Linked DNA regions of Neurospora crassa OR74A. The protein of the gene in region 2 purifies or fractionates together with the protein of the main gene of each other region. This does not show direct contact. Links are inferred from orthologs where the notes say so. Each region holds a gene or a part of one and is shown on either strand. Other genes may lie near its edges.

Region 1 (3,739 bases), on a different chromosome or scaffold from region 2:
GTTGGGGCGATGGACATTGAGAGGGACGAGACCAATCAGTTTGAGGTCTACATCAAGTAGTGTATGACCTGGAGAATAAACATGGAGACTGGGTTTTGGGAGACGTTATTCGCACATTTCTTTAGCTGTTATGGGGTTGGAGTTTACCGGGCTTATTCGTCAGGCCTACGAAATCGGCGGTGACTAGTGGATTATTGTTTTTGCTTAAAGTTGTGACAGATGATTACGGAGTTTGGAGTGTTGCAAGTCCTTCCAGGACACGGTTCATGGTGCGGAGGTGGTACCCTAGCTCTTCAGAAGATACCCATACGTATATCACTTTTTGCTACGTCTTGCCTTCACTTTATTTCAACAAGCTTGATGAGTCATGGGAGTTGGTCAGTCAGAGCACAAAAAGAGCCTCCTCGGGTTAAGATGGTCTCATCCCACCTATCGTAGGTGAATATCGAGGGGTTTGACTATGCTCTATCTGCTATTTCGATATACGGTTCGCCATCTGGACTGTAAAACAAACAAGACCTTTACTTATGCGGAACAAGCGAGATAAGAGAATGGATGGAAATAACTACTACTTGTATGACCTGAAGAAACCAATCTATCGTGGCTCACCTGGCTACATTGGTGCCCATCACATCAGCTCCTTACATTTTGCTTGATTTGCCGTCACCATGGAATTGAACCTCAACCAAATGAGCGCACTGGATCAGTTTCCCACATCACTTTCTCTGCACAATAATCGACCTTGCCAGCCAATATGCACTAAACCGCCTTTTGGTGAATATCTCTGTTCATTGTCTTCTCTTCTCGTCCTCCGGGTATAGATCATAACCACACATTGAAAGATTCGCAAGGCGGTAGCTCCCCAATATCCCGTCCTCTTCCTCCCGCTTCTACACACCTTCGTAGATATCCCCAGCATGACTGACTGAATCGCCCATTTCAAACTCTCCAAACTCAAAGCAAAAGCATAATGAACTCCTAAACGCCAGAACCCTTTTTAAGCGTAGCTCCCGAAATGCCACCTTCGCCCCTTATGTGATGAAAACCGTCGATTTTTTGTTGACTGAACCATGCAGCCCCGTGCGTGAACCATTCATTAGGTGAGAATAGCGGCAATAGAAGTGTAACACATTGTTGCCGTTTTTCGTGAAAGAAAGAGCTTAGAATCTCTCCTTTTGCCTCGAGGCAATGATCCGGAGGTTGTTGTACACCTTGCCGGGCTGGTGTCCGAGAATGAGGGAGACGACGGACTCGCGGGCCATGCCAATGTTCTCGAAGGCACCGAGGATATGAACGCGGGAGCCGGCGAGGACGATTCTGGTTTTTGTGGCTTTTCACATCTTGTCAGTACTTCTGCGTCATCTCTTCCATTCTCCCATAATGGTGAACGTACCATTCTCAATCGCAAACTTGGTCTTTCCGTCCTTGCCTGCAATACGACCAATCGCACGTCCCAGAGCATCGGGGCCAAGGGTCTGACGGACATCCTTGACATCGAAGGACTGGATATAGAGCGAATCGAGACGGAGCAGGGCAATGGCGTCGTCAATGTCGAAGCCCATGGCGAAGGCGGAGACGAAATCGGCACCCATCTGCAGGGATTCGGGGGTGGTGGTGTGTCTGCTGGAGCGGAGCTCGACGCGCTTCTCCTTGATGTTCATGCGGACCTGGAGCTTGCAGTGCTCTACAAGTGGGGGGTAGCTGATTGGAAAACAGTCAGTCTTCCTTGCCCAAACATTCACACATGTTTCCGTAGTTTTCCGTCTCACATCTTGGTCCAATTGGCCTTGAGGGCCGACATGCGGTTTGGCGGGATACCAATTTTCCTGGTCTCTGCGCGGCGAATGATCTGGACGTCCTGGCCGGGGGCGAAACGGGGGCGGCCCTCCTCGTCTACAGCCATCTGCACATCTTGGTCATTGGAAGGGGGAGCGGCGGCGCTGGGATCGGTGAGGTTGACGGCCTCGTTGACATCGAGAATGAGCTCGTCCTCTTGCTCGGTCTGGATAGGAATCTGGGCGGCGGGAGCCTTGACAGGCTGACGAAGTGCTGTTGGCGCAGGCATGTTGGGCGAGATGTGTTGTTTATCGGTGGGTGATGGTCAAGGGGCCGAGTCGGGTTGTTTGTTGATTAAAGTCGGTAGTATTTTGGGAAATCGCCGGCCAAGAGTAATGGCAGATTTTTCGAAAATCGGGTGGAGGAGAGACTGGTGACGGGCGACGAAAGAAGTGTCGGGATGCTGGGTTACAGTCGTGAATTGCGGAGATCTGGGAGTCGAAGTTCTGCCTTTTTGCGCCGTCGGTCTCTAGAATTTTGATGTTTATCGATTTTGATAGCGCAGAGGGGAAATTCTTGACAAAAAGCAGTGGATCCACAAAAGAGTACCCAAGTGAAGCTTATCGATTGGCTGCATGGGGGCTAGGACCCTTGCCAATCGCAACGCCCATGCACTAACAGTTACCGAGGAATCCCTGTAATCCCAAGGTTAGCGTCATTGACGCACTTTTGACGGGGACCTGGACCGGCAGCTTTTTCAAACTCCAGGTTCTTGGTCAGAGCAGGAGCACCATCATATGTCATTCTAGACTCGGCCCACCACCAAGCAACAACATCTGATTTTCAGCCTCGAGGACCGACCATGGATACGGCACCGAGCTGTCGTCATCACCATCGTCGCTGAAAACATAGGAAAAAAAAAAGGAACAGGTCGGTCCCTTACTCGGTCGACAGTATGAATTTCAACAATGTCTACTAGCGCTACGACGACCCAGCTGGGCCGCCAGCTATGGTCTTCAGTACGAGATCTTCACACCACCTCGAATCTCTTCACAGCCGCGATACTGCTTCCAACTTGTCAGCCATTACTGAGTCGTCAAAGTCTTGGACTTGGCCCCTCGACATCGCTGGGGTCCCATCAGCGATACGGACAGCAGCAGAGCACGCGACAATTTACCTCTTCCGCAAGTCGCTTTTTCTTCCCAGCAACAAAATCGCAAAGACTACACTATCAACAGTCACAACCATCCCATAATGTCCTACGAAGCTGTACCTCCGGAGGCCTACTCCTCCTTGGGCTCACCACCAGCCCCTCTCCAACGAGCACGGTAGAGGCATCCGCACTATCCGGCAATGCCGCGCAAAAGGCAAAAATGGGCCACTTGGCTCGGCAGGCTTTACTCTTGCGAAGGATACGACAGAACACCACGACCACAACGTTATGCAAGACAGGAAAGCGATTCCAAAGTTCGGGCAAAGAGACCAAGGGTGATCATGACGAGACCAAGGCCGAAGCCAAGTCTTCTACAATTTCTCCTCAGCAAAAGTCCGAGCAACCACAGCAGCCACCGAATACCGAGACGGCTTCCGGTTCTGGTTCCCAGCCGACTCCCGCACATGAATCAATAGCAGATTCCATGTCTAAATACCTTCACCTTCCTCACCTCCCCCATTTGCCTCATCGGCCCACAAAAGAAGAGCTTCTGGCGGCAGCAAGCGGGTTCTGGTCGCGTCTCAAGGTCCGATTCAAGTGGTTCTCCATCAGGAGCATGCGCCCCTGGAACGCCGACGAATGGGGAGCGTTTGTGTCCTTCTTCTTATTCGGTCATTTGGTCTGGATTCTTGTTGGCACAACTACCTTCTTCTCCCTCATCATCCTCTTTATCAACACGGTGTTTGCCCAGGAAACGCTGGCCAAGTGGATCGGAGACTACCTGACCCAATCTGCTGGCCTTACTGTTGT
Region 2 (3,995 bases):
CAGGGGTTTTGTGTCATGGAAACGGGTGTGCCCAGCTTCGTTGCGATTTCGGTGACGATCTGACCGGTCGATGTGTCCTGGTACTTGAGCTGGCCGTTTGTGCCCAGGGTGGCCAGCAGGAAGTGGTAGGGGAGGAATTCGAGGTGGGAGACTTCGACGTGTTTCCTTAGGCAGTGGAGCTCGACGCCCTGCGAGTCGTAGATGTAGGTGTACTTCTTCTGAGCGACGGCAAAGTATTGGTTGTTGTGTAGCCACTTGACGTCCCTGATGGTCTCTCCCAACTGCAACTCACAGCCCAGCTTGCCGTCTCTCCAGTCCATCGTAGCGACATGGCCCTTTCGTCCTGCCAGAATCAGATCCCGGCCATTCCTCGAAAAATCGCAAATGTAAGGGCCTAGTTGGTCGAGCTTCAAGTCGAACTTTTTCTGGGCGACCTCAATGTTGACTTCGCTGACGATGTCCTCCTGGCGAACCTTGTATGTGCGTTCCTATCGTGACCAGCGCGGTTAGTATCGCGCAAGAGGCTATAAACTCCCAAGCCATGGCTACTCACAAGCTCATGTTCAGCCTCGAGGAAACCGCCGGCATTCTCGAGAAGGATTTCGGCCTCCTTGGCCTTTAGCGTGGCCGTCTGGTACTTTTCTTCGAGGTTGGTAAGGTTGCGCTTGAGCTTTTTGTCCTTGACGTTCTTGACATCGATCTTGCGACCACGGCCGTACGACTTCTCTGCTGCCTTGACTTTGCGGATCTTGTTGGCCTCGGCCTTTGATCGGAACTCGCTTCGGACGTTGTTGATGGCAACGGCGCCGCTGGGCTGCTCTGCCCTCGAGAGGGAGATTTCGGCCCTGTCTGTAGTCTCCATGGTGCCAATGGGTCGACGCGACACAATGGGAATGGGTAATATGTGTGGTGGACTAGGACAGTTGGATCGGCGACGGGATATGGATGGGGGCTGAATATGGAATTGGTCTGGCGGTTTCTCGGTGTGCCCGTGTCTGTCCCTCGCTTTGGCACTTTGAATGTTTCCTTTCCTCGACAACTTTTTTGGGGCCGGACCCACTAAAAAGTTGGATGGGGCAGCTGTTCCGCAGCGATCATTGGCTCCACTGCGTACAAGAGTCCGATAAGATAAGTAGCGAGACGGCCGCCCATGTTCGCACAACTCAAAAAAATGCAACGAGTGCCCCGCCATTGACATTGTCCCCATCACTTTATTCGATACTCGATAGACGGATTGTGACCAGAGAGGTTCTCGAAATCTCTTTTCAGTCCCAACCCCCCAGCCTCTTCTCTTCATCGCCTCCCCAGGTCCAACATCCTGGCGTCAAACTCGCTCCCTTTTCGGTTCAAAGCAGGCGGCGATTCCAGCAATATGCCCGGCGCCGTGAGCGGCCACTCGCATCGGCCGACGACCAAGGCGTCGAACAAGCCCTTCAAGTCACGCCATTCTACCAAGGGTGCTCTCCGGAATGCTGCCAAAGGTACGGATTGCATATAACAGCCGTGCCTCATGCCAAGGTTGTTGCCTTGGACTATGCTCTACTTCACCCAACTTTGGCGCACCAAGCCCAAGCAGACATGAATATACAGCTGCATATAAAGAGGTCGACAACGTCCACACAGCGCTAATACTTTCAACATTCTATAGGCAAGGTAGCCGAGGAGAGAGGTGTGCGCAAGACCCCCCATCAACAAGTCATGTCCAAGTTCGACCGTCGCAACCGTAACAAGCAGCTTCAGCTGCAAAAACACAAGGAACATCTCCAGGAGACCTCCATTTTCGCCGGCAAGGATGGTGCCCCCAGAAACGTGGCCGTTATCCCCCTGTGCAGCGACGGTGACGCTACCGAAGCCATCAAGAGCCTGAACGCCAGCATTGATATCGAGACCGAGGTGCCCGAGGGCGCATTCCGCGTTCCCGTCGACAGATTCAAGCAGAAGCTTCAATACTTCCCCCTCAAGCGCGACCTTACCGCCTGCCTGGACGCTGCCAGAGTCGCCGACTATGTCGTTCTCGTTTTGTCCGCGCAGGAAGAGGTCGATGAACTTGGCGAGCTGATCTTGCGCAGCGTTGAAAGCCAGGGTCTCTCTACCCTCTTCACCGTCGTCCAGGGCCTCAACAAGATCGAGCCCCAAAAGCAGAGACTCTCCGTTCTTTCGTCTCTCAAGTCCTACATCACCCACTTCCACCCCGAACAGGATAAGGTCTTCAGCCTCGACAACAGACAGGAATGCTCCAACCTCATGCGCTCGCTATGCAGCACTACACCCAAGGGCATTCGCTGGAGAGACGAGAGGAGTTGGATGCTTGTGGAGGAGGTCAAGTTTGGTGAGTCTACCGTGCTTACCGGTGTCGTCAGGGGCAAGGGCTTGAAGGCCGACCGCCTGGTGCAGGTTGGCGATTGGGGCACCTTCCAGGTTGAGAAGATCACAGCAGCTCCCTTGGCCAGGAGGAAACGTGGAGAGGAGGGCATGAACGTGGAGGAGGGCGCTGAGGAGATTCTCGACCAGCCTACCGACGACCGCGATGATCTTGTCGACCTTGCGCCCGAGGAGGTTCGCATGGAGGACGACGACGATGACGAAATGAACGACGGAATGACCACAATGACGACTTCAAAGAAGGGTGTTTTGTTGGACGACCACCATTACTTCTCAGAGGAGGAGCCCGAGGCTTATACTGCGCCAAAGAAGCTTCCCAAGGGTACATCAAAGTACCAGGCTGCGTGGTACCTAGACGACGATGTGTCTGATTCCGGCTCAGATATGGAAGAGGACGATGAGATGGAGGACGACGACGAGGAAGAGGCCGCCAGGCCAGAGGATGGCGAGGAGGGTCTTGCTGGTTACGCGCCAACAGAAGCCGGACAAACCGAGTACCCACAAACTGAGGGCGGCTTCATCCAACCTGATGCTGATGAGGATGCCAAGCAACTAGAGGCTTTCCGCAAGCAAAAGCGGGATGAGGCTCAGGATGACCTCGAGTTCCCTGATGAGATCGAGCTCCACCCCCACGTTCTTGCTCGTGAACGTCTAGCCAAGTACAGAGGTCTCAAGAGCTTGAGGTCAAGCCCTTGGCAGGAGGATGAGGACCGCGCATACCAGCCAGAGGATTGGGAGCGCTTGTTGAAGATCCAAGACTACCAGGCCTCCAAGATCAGGGCGTCTAGGGAAGCCCTTGTCGGAGGTGTTGCTCCTGGTACCCGCGTCCACGTTTACCTTAAGGACGTGCCCGCGACCATCCAGCAATCCTACAACCCCAGCCAGCCCGTCACTCTATTCTCCCTGCTCAGGCACGAGTACAAGAAGACTGCTGTCAACTTCCTCATCAACCTGAGCGCGGACGCTGCCGCACCCATCAAGGCCAAGGAGGAGTTGATCATACAGTGCGGTCCCCGCCGCTTCGTCATCAACCCGCTCTTCTCCCAGGGCGGCAACACTCCCAACGACGTCCACAAGTACTGCCGGTACCTGCACCCCGGCCAGTCGGCTGTCGCTACTTTTACGGGTCCTGTCACATGGGGTGCTGTACCCACCCTCTTCTTCAAGAGGCAAGTGCCGGGCTCCGTGCTTGACGAAGATGGCGAGCCCGTCTCCAATCTGCCGCTCAGCCTCGTCGCCACCGGCACTGCCCTGCCCCCCTCGACATCGCGCGTCGTCGCCAAGCGTGCCATCCTTACCGGTCACCCGTACCACATCCACAAGAAGATTGTCACCATCCGCTACATGTTCTTCAACAGGGAGGACGTTGAGTGGTTCAAGGCTCTGCCTCTGTGGACCAGGCGTGGCAGGAGCGGTTTCATCAAGGAGGCGCTGGGTACCCACGGTTACTTCAAGGCTACCTTTGACGGGCGCATCAACCCTCAGGACTCTGTGGGCGTCAGCTTGTACAAGAGGGTGTGGCCCCGGAGTGCCAAGCAGCTGGGTGCGCCTCTGCTGGATGCCGCGGCGCTCCAGCAGGAGGTTGATGAGGACGCTATGGATGCGGAATAGAG
Region 3 (3,636 bases), on a different chromosome or scaffold from region 2:
TTACGGGAGCCGTGGGGATGGCTGTTTGGAGTGTTTCTCCCGATGGGGACGCCGGCGATGGCATGGGTGCTGAGACCTTCGTGGTTTTTGGGCTATGGGTGTTGGGTGCGGAGGATGGAGGTCGAAGAATGGAGGAGTGGAGGAGAGAAGGACAAGAACGGCGACACATTTTAGTATCCAGTGTCGTGCTTTCCAAAATATAAGTTGCGGTCACCATTTGTTCTTCTTCTTTTTCTTTGCCCCTCTTCAATGGTTTTGAACAACTGACAAGCTATCGAAAGAAGGCTTCCACGCTTTCTGGCTTGGTAACGACGCACTCGGCGCCTGTTACTGAGAGAGGTAGGGTAGGAAAACAGCTTGCTCTCCTGTGCTTTCCGTTTCCCTGTTACTCCAAGGACTCGGTCCCGTAGGTCACTGACCACTCCCCCGATCCATGGTTTTATTATAAAAGACATCTCGATGCGGTAGGTCTGGTATTGTCAGCAATTGCTTCTCAGCAATGTTTGAGCAACGTGACGAAGAGAACAACATCCGACGCTCAAGCAATCCAAACGAAAGATGATTATGGTTCGATTCCTGGCAAAAGTGGCAGCCAGATTCATTGGCTTTTATGATTGTGCAAATCCTAGCATCCAGATCAATGGTATTTCCACGACAAATGGAACAAAACAAAGAATTTTTAAAAAACGACATTTTCCCAATCCCCAAAAAACGCCCCGTACGCCGATGATTTCTGTGCGTGTTCGCAATAATAACACACGTCTAAGAGAAGTGAATACCCTCCTCGTGGAACGCTGTCAGGAGTGTTAGCGAGGTTGTCCATCAGAAAGGGAAGCCGAGGGGGAAGAAAACGTACCAAGCAACAGCTTGAGGAAATCGTTCTGATCGCACTGCCTAGCTCTCTTGTCCGCCAAACCGGTGCTCGTAAGCACCTTGTTCAACTTGGCCTTGACTATCAAGGCCACCTTGGACTTGGGGTTCTTGCTAGGTGTCTTGGCGTCCTTAGCGTTGGCGTCGTTTTGCTCCTTGAAGAAGACGGGCATGTCCTCGTCCTCATCCTCCTCCATAGCCTCGTCATCGTCGTTGTTCTCTTCGTTATCATTGTCTTCGTTGTCGTCGTCCATCTCGACGTCCATGGCATCGTTGGTGGCGCCGGCGGCAGCAAGGTCAGCCGCGGAAGCGAGGGACTCGTCGATGGGGATGTTGTTGAGGGTGCAGTAGACTTTGTAGTTCTGGAAACGAAGTGGTCAGTAAGAGTTGGAGCTTGTGAACACATGGGAAGAAACGTACCCTCTCGCACATGTTGAGGACCTCCTTCTGGTTGAAGCCGGCATAAAGGGTCTTGTTCTTGCGGTTGAAAGCAATGCGAAGGAGACCGTCGAACTCCTCAAAAGCAATGTTGGGGCGCGCCGAACCAACAAGGGGCTCAATTCTGACGACGTCGGACTCGACCTTGGGAGGAGGCTTGAAGTTCTGCTTGCCGACCTTCATGATGTGCTTGCATGTGGCCCAGAAGTTGACATTGACACTCAATCTCGAGTAGAGAGCATCACCCGGCCGAGCCACCAGTCTCTTTGCGAATTCTCTTTGAAACATGAGTACGGCGACGCGGGGCGGGTTGGGCATGGCCAACATCTTGAAGATGAGCGGACTGGAAATTTGGTAGGGAGTGTTGGAGATGAGAGCGTCGCATGGAGGCATTTCGGGCATCTTGATGACATCGCCGAGAATGACCTCGAGCTTCTTGGCTAGCGGAGTGCCCTGGACACGCTTGGTAACTTCGGCACCCATACGAGGATCGAGCTCGATGGCGATGACCTTCTTTGCCTTTTCAAGGGCGCGGACCGTGATGTTGCCGGTACCGGGACCGACTTCGACGACGACATCGGTGGGCTTGAGGAAGGCCTTGTCGACAATGGCATCCGAGATACCGGGGTTCTTGAGGATATGCTGGCCAAAGTCCTTGTCGAACTTGAAGATGTTGGTGTTGGTAGCCTTGCCGCCGCCGCCGCCCCCCTTGCGATCGTAGGGGTTGCCGCCGCCCCCCGACTTCTTGGACGCCTTCGCTGCCTTGGGCATGGTGTAGTCTAGTCAATGCTGTCGTGGGTAGGTGTGTGGAGGAAGACGACTCGGAATCGAGGTCGGACGAGAAGGTTGGGGGATCGATGGAGGGTTTCGTCGTTTCGGTCGATCTCTGTCCGGGTCGAGACTTGGGCGGTTCGTTCTCAAGTCACGGCAGTCGCGCAATGGCTGTAGTATGTACCTCTATTGTGAGACGGACAGAGGTACCGCAGGCTGAAGAGAGCTTCCTTGTGCCTGCGCCGGACCCCGGCCGACATCTTTTTTTTGAGTGGATCAGGCGGCAGAAAAAAAGATGCCCCGCCAGACATGTGGCTGATAAGATAAGCAAAAGGCTGACCGCTTTCCCCATTGAGACACCATGCGGGCGGCGGCGGCGGCCCAGCCCACTGGAAACATCAGTGGAATCCAGGCACCTCGGCCACTTCCGACCGATGATTCCCCGTCTGACGTAACAGCGGAGGCCGCCCTAAACATGTGCGGCGGGTTCAAATTGCTACCCAGCACTTAAACGGCAAATCCTCCGGTCTTTCAGTGAGGGTCTTCCCCGTCATCACCTAACTGCCGTGTGAAGCTGATCACATCGAAGCAGACAGGCAGTGGCTTTGAATTTTCATCTACCTACCTATAATACCAACCCCCTCCCAAGGTTCGAGGAAATCGGATTGTAAAAAAAAAATAACAGATTCTTTTCCATCATCTTCTCCTTGGCTCATACCTGGGCGTGTGACCCACTGGTTATTCCTTGTTGTTTTGGTTCATGTGGTGATAGCCTCATTTCTCTGTTGAAGTTGACGATAATCAATCGCAACCATGTCGATACGGATCGCCCTCGAAAACCCTCCCGAGTTCTACACAAACCTGGATATTATCCGCGGCCAGGTCGTCCTCACTCTCAGTCGTCCCGAACAGATCGGAGGCATCATCGTCAAACTCGAGGGTGAAGCCAAGTCGGCCTTGGGAGTACCCGCCGATGGCTCAGGGACCGGCATTGCTCAGAGGGAGCGCACTCCAACCGGCGATGTTATCTACGAGAACCACAAGATCCTATACAAAGTCACCCAGGCCTTTCCCGACGAGAAGACCAACGCCTTGCCACAGCCCTATGTCCTAGCCGCTGGTCAACACAGATTCCCCTTCCAGTTCAAGTTTCCCTTCAACAATGCTTGTGGTGATCCTGTCGCCATGGCCAAACTAGGAGGCCTTTCTGGTGCCGGTGGAATCGCGTCGGGTTCTGGCTTGTTCGGTCTCGGTGGCATTCGTGTTATGGACGGCACCAAGCAGCTGATGTACTCCCATGTCACAAAGACGCTCCCACCCAGTTTCACCGGATTCCCAGGCCAGTGCGAGATTCGATACTATGTCAAGGTTACCATTCAGAGACCGGGCTTTTTCAAGGAGAACTGGAGGATGCAGACCGGCTTGAAATTCCTTCCTATTGAGCCTCCAAGGCCGCCCAAGACGAACCACGAAGCCTATGCCAGACGACCCTTTGCATTCCGTCCACGAAGCCCAAGGACAAACGCGTCTTCCAAGAAACGAGCTTCTTTCTTCAGC

Evidence for each region. Proteins that work in one complex are often made in the same cells at the same time.
Region 1: the proteins of NCU01503 (region 2) and NCU07956 purify together in Saccharomyces cerevisiae (affinity purification with mass spectrometry; 5 studies listed by BioGRID, with this or other methods). This does not show direct contact. The link is inferred for Neurospora crassa OR74A from reciprocal best matches to the Saccharomyces cerevisiae genes TSR1 and PNO1.
Region 3: the proteins of NCU01503 (region 2) and NCU08968 purify together in Saccharomyces cerevisiae (affinity purification with mass spectrometry; 8 studies listed by BioGRID, with this or other methods). This does not show direct contact. The link is inferred for Neurospora crassa OR74A from reciprocal best matches to the Saccharomyces cerevisiae genes TSR1 and DIM1.

The regions. Positions count from the first base shown.
Region 1 is NC_026504.1:1,226,249-1,229,987, forward strand, and holds NCU07956 (pre-rRNA-processing protein PNO1), read right to left. Parts: upstream 2,317-3,739; 5' UTR 2,066-2,316; coding exon 1,770-2,065; intron 1,702-1,769; coding exon 1,394-1,701; intron 1,331-1,393; coding exon 1,161-1,330; 3' UTR 557-1,160; downstream 1-556. Other genes in the region: NCU07957 (hypothetical protein), read left to right, coding at 1-60; pod-1 (mitochondrion biogenesis protein), read left to right, coding at 2,745-3,739. UniProt on the Saccharomyces cerevisiae protein: Required for small ribosomal subunit (SSU) synthesis. Has a role in the processing of early nucleolar and late cytoplasmic pre-RNA species. Recruits DIM1 to nucleolar pre-RNAs.
Region 2 is NC_026502.1:3,251,148-3,255,142, reverse strand, and holds the start of NCU01503 (pre-rRNA processing protein Tsr1), read left to right. Parts: upstream 1-1,178; 5' UTR 1,179-1,372; coding exon 1,373-1,481; intron 1,482-1,648; coding exon 1,649-3,993; 3' UTR 3,994-3,995. Other genes in the region: NCU01502 (small nucleolar ribonucleoprotein complex subunit), read right to left, coding at 1-488, 554-862.
Region 3 is NC_026505.1:5,864,713-5,868,348, reverse strand, and holds NCU08968 (dimethyladenosine transferase), read right to left. Parts: upstream 2,328-3,636; 5' UTR 2,080-2,327; coding exon 1,291-2,079; intron 1,233-1,290; coding exon 857-1,232; intron 795-856; coding exon 763-794; 3' UTR 557-762; downstream 1-556. Other genes in the region: NCU08969 (hypothetical protein), read left to right, coding at 1-203; NCU08967 (arrestin domain-containing protein), read left to right, coding at 2,893-3,636. UniProt on the Saccharomyces cerevisiae protein: Specifically dimethylates two adjacent adenosines in the loop of a conserved hairpin near the 3'-end of 18S rRNA in the 40S particle.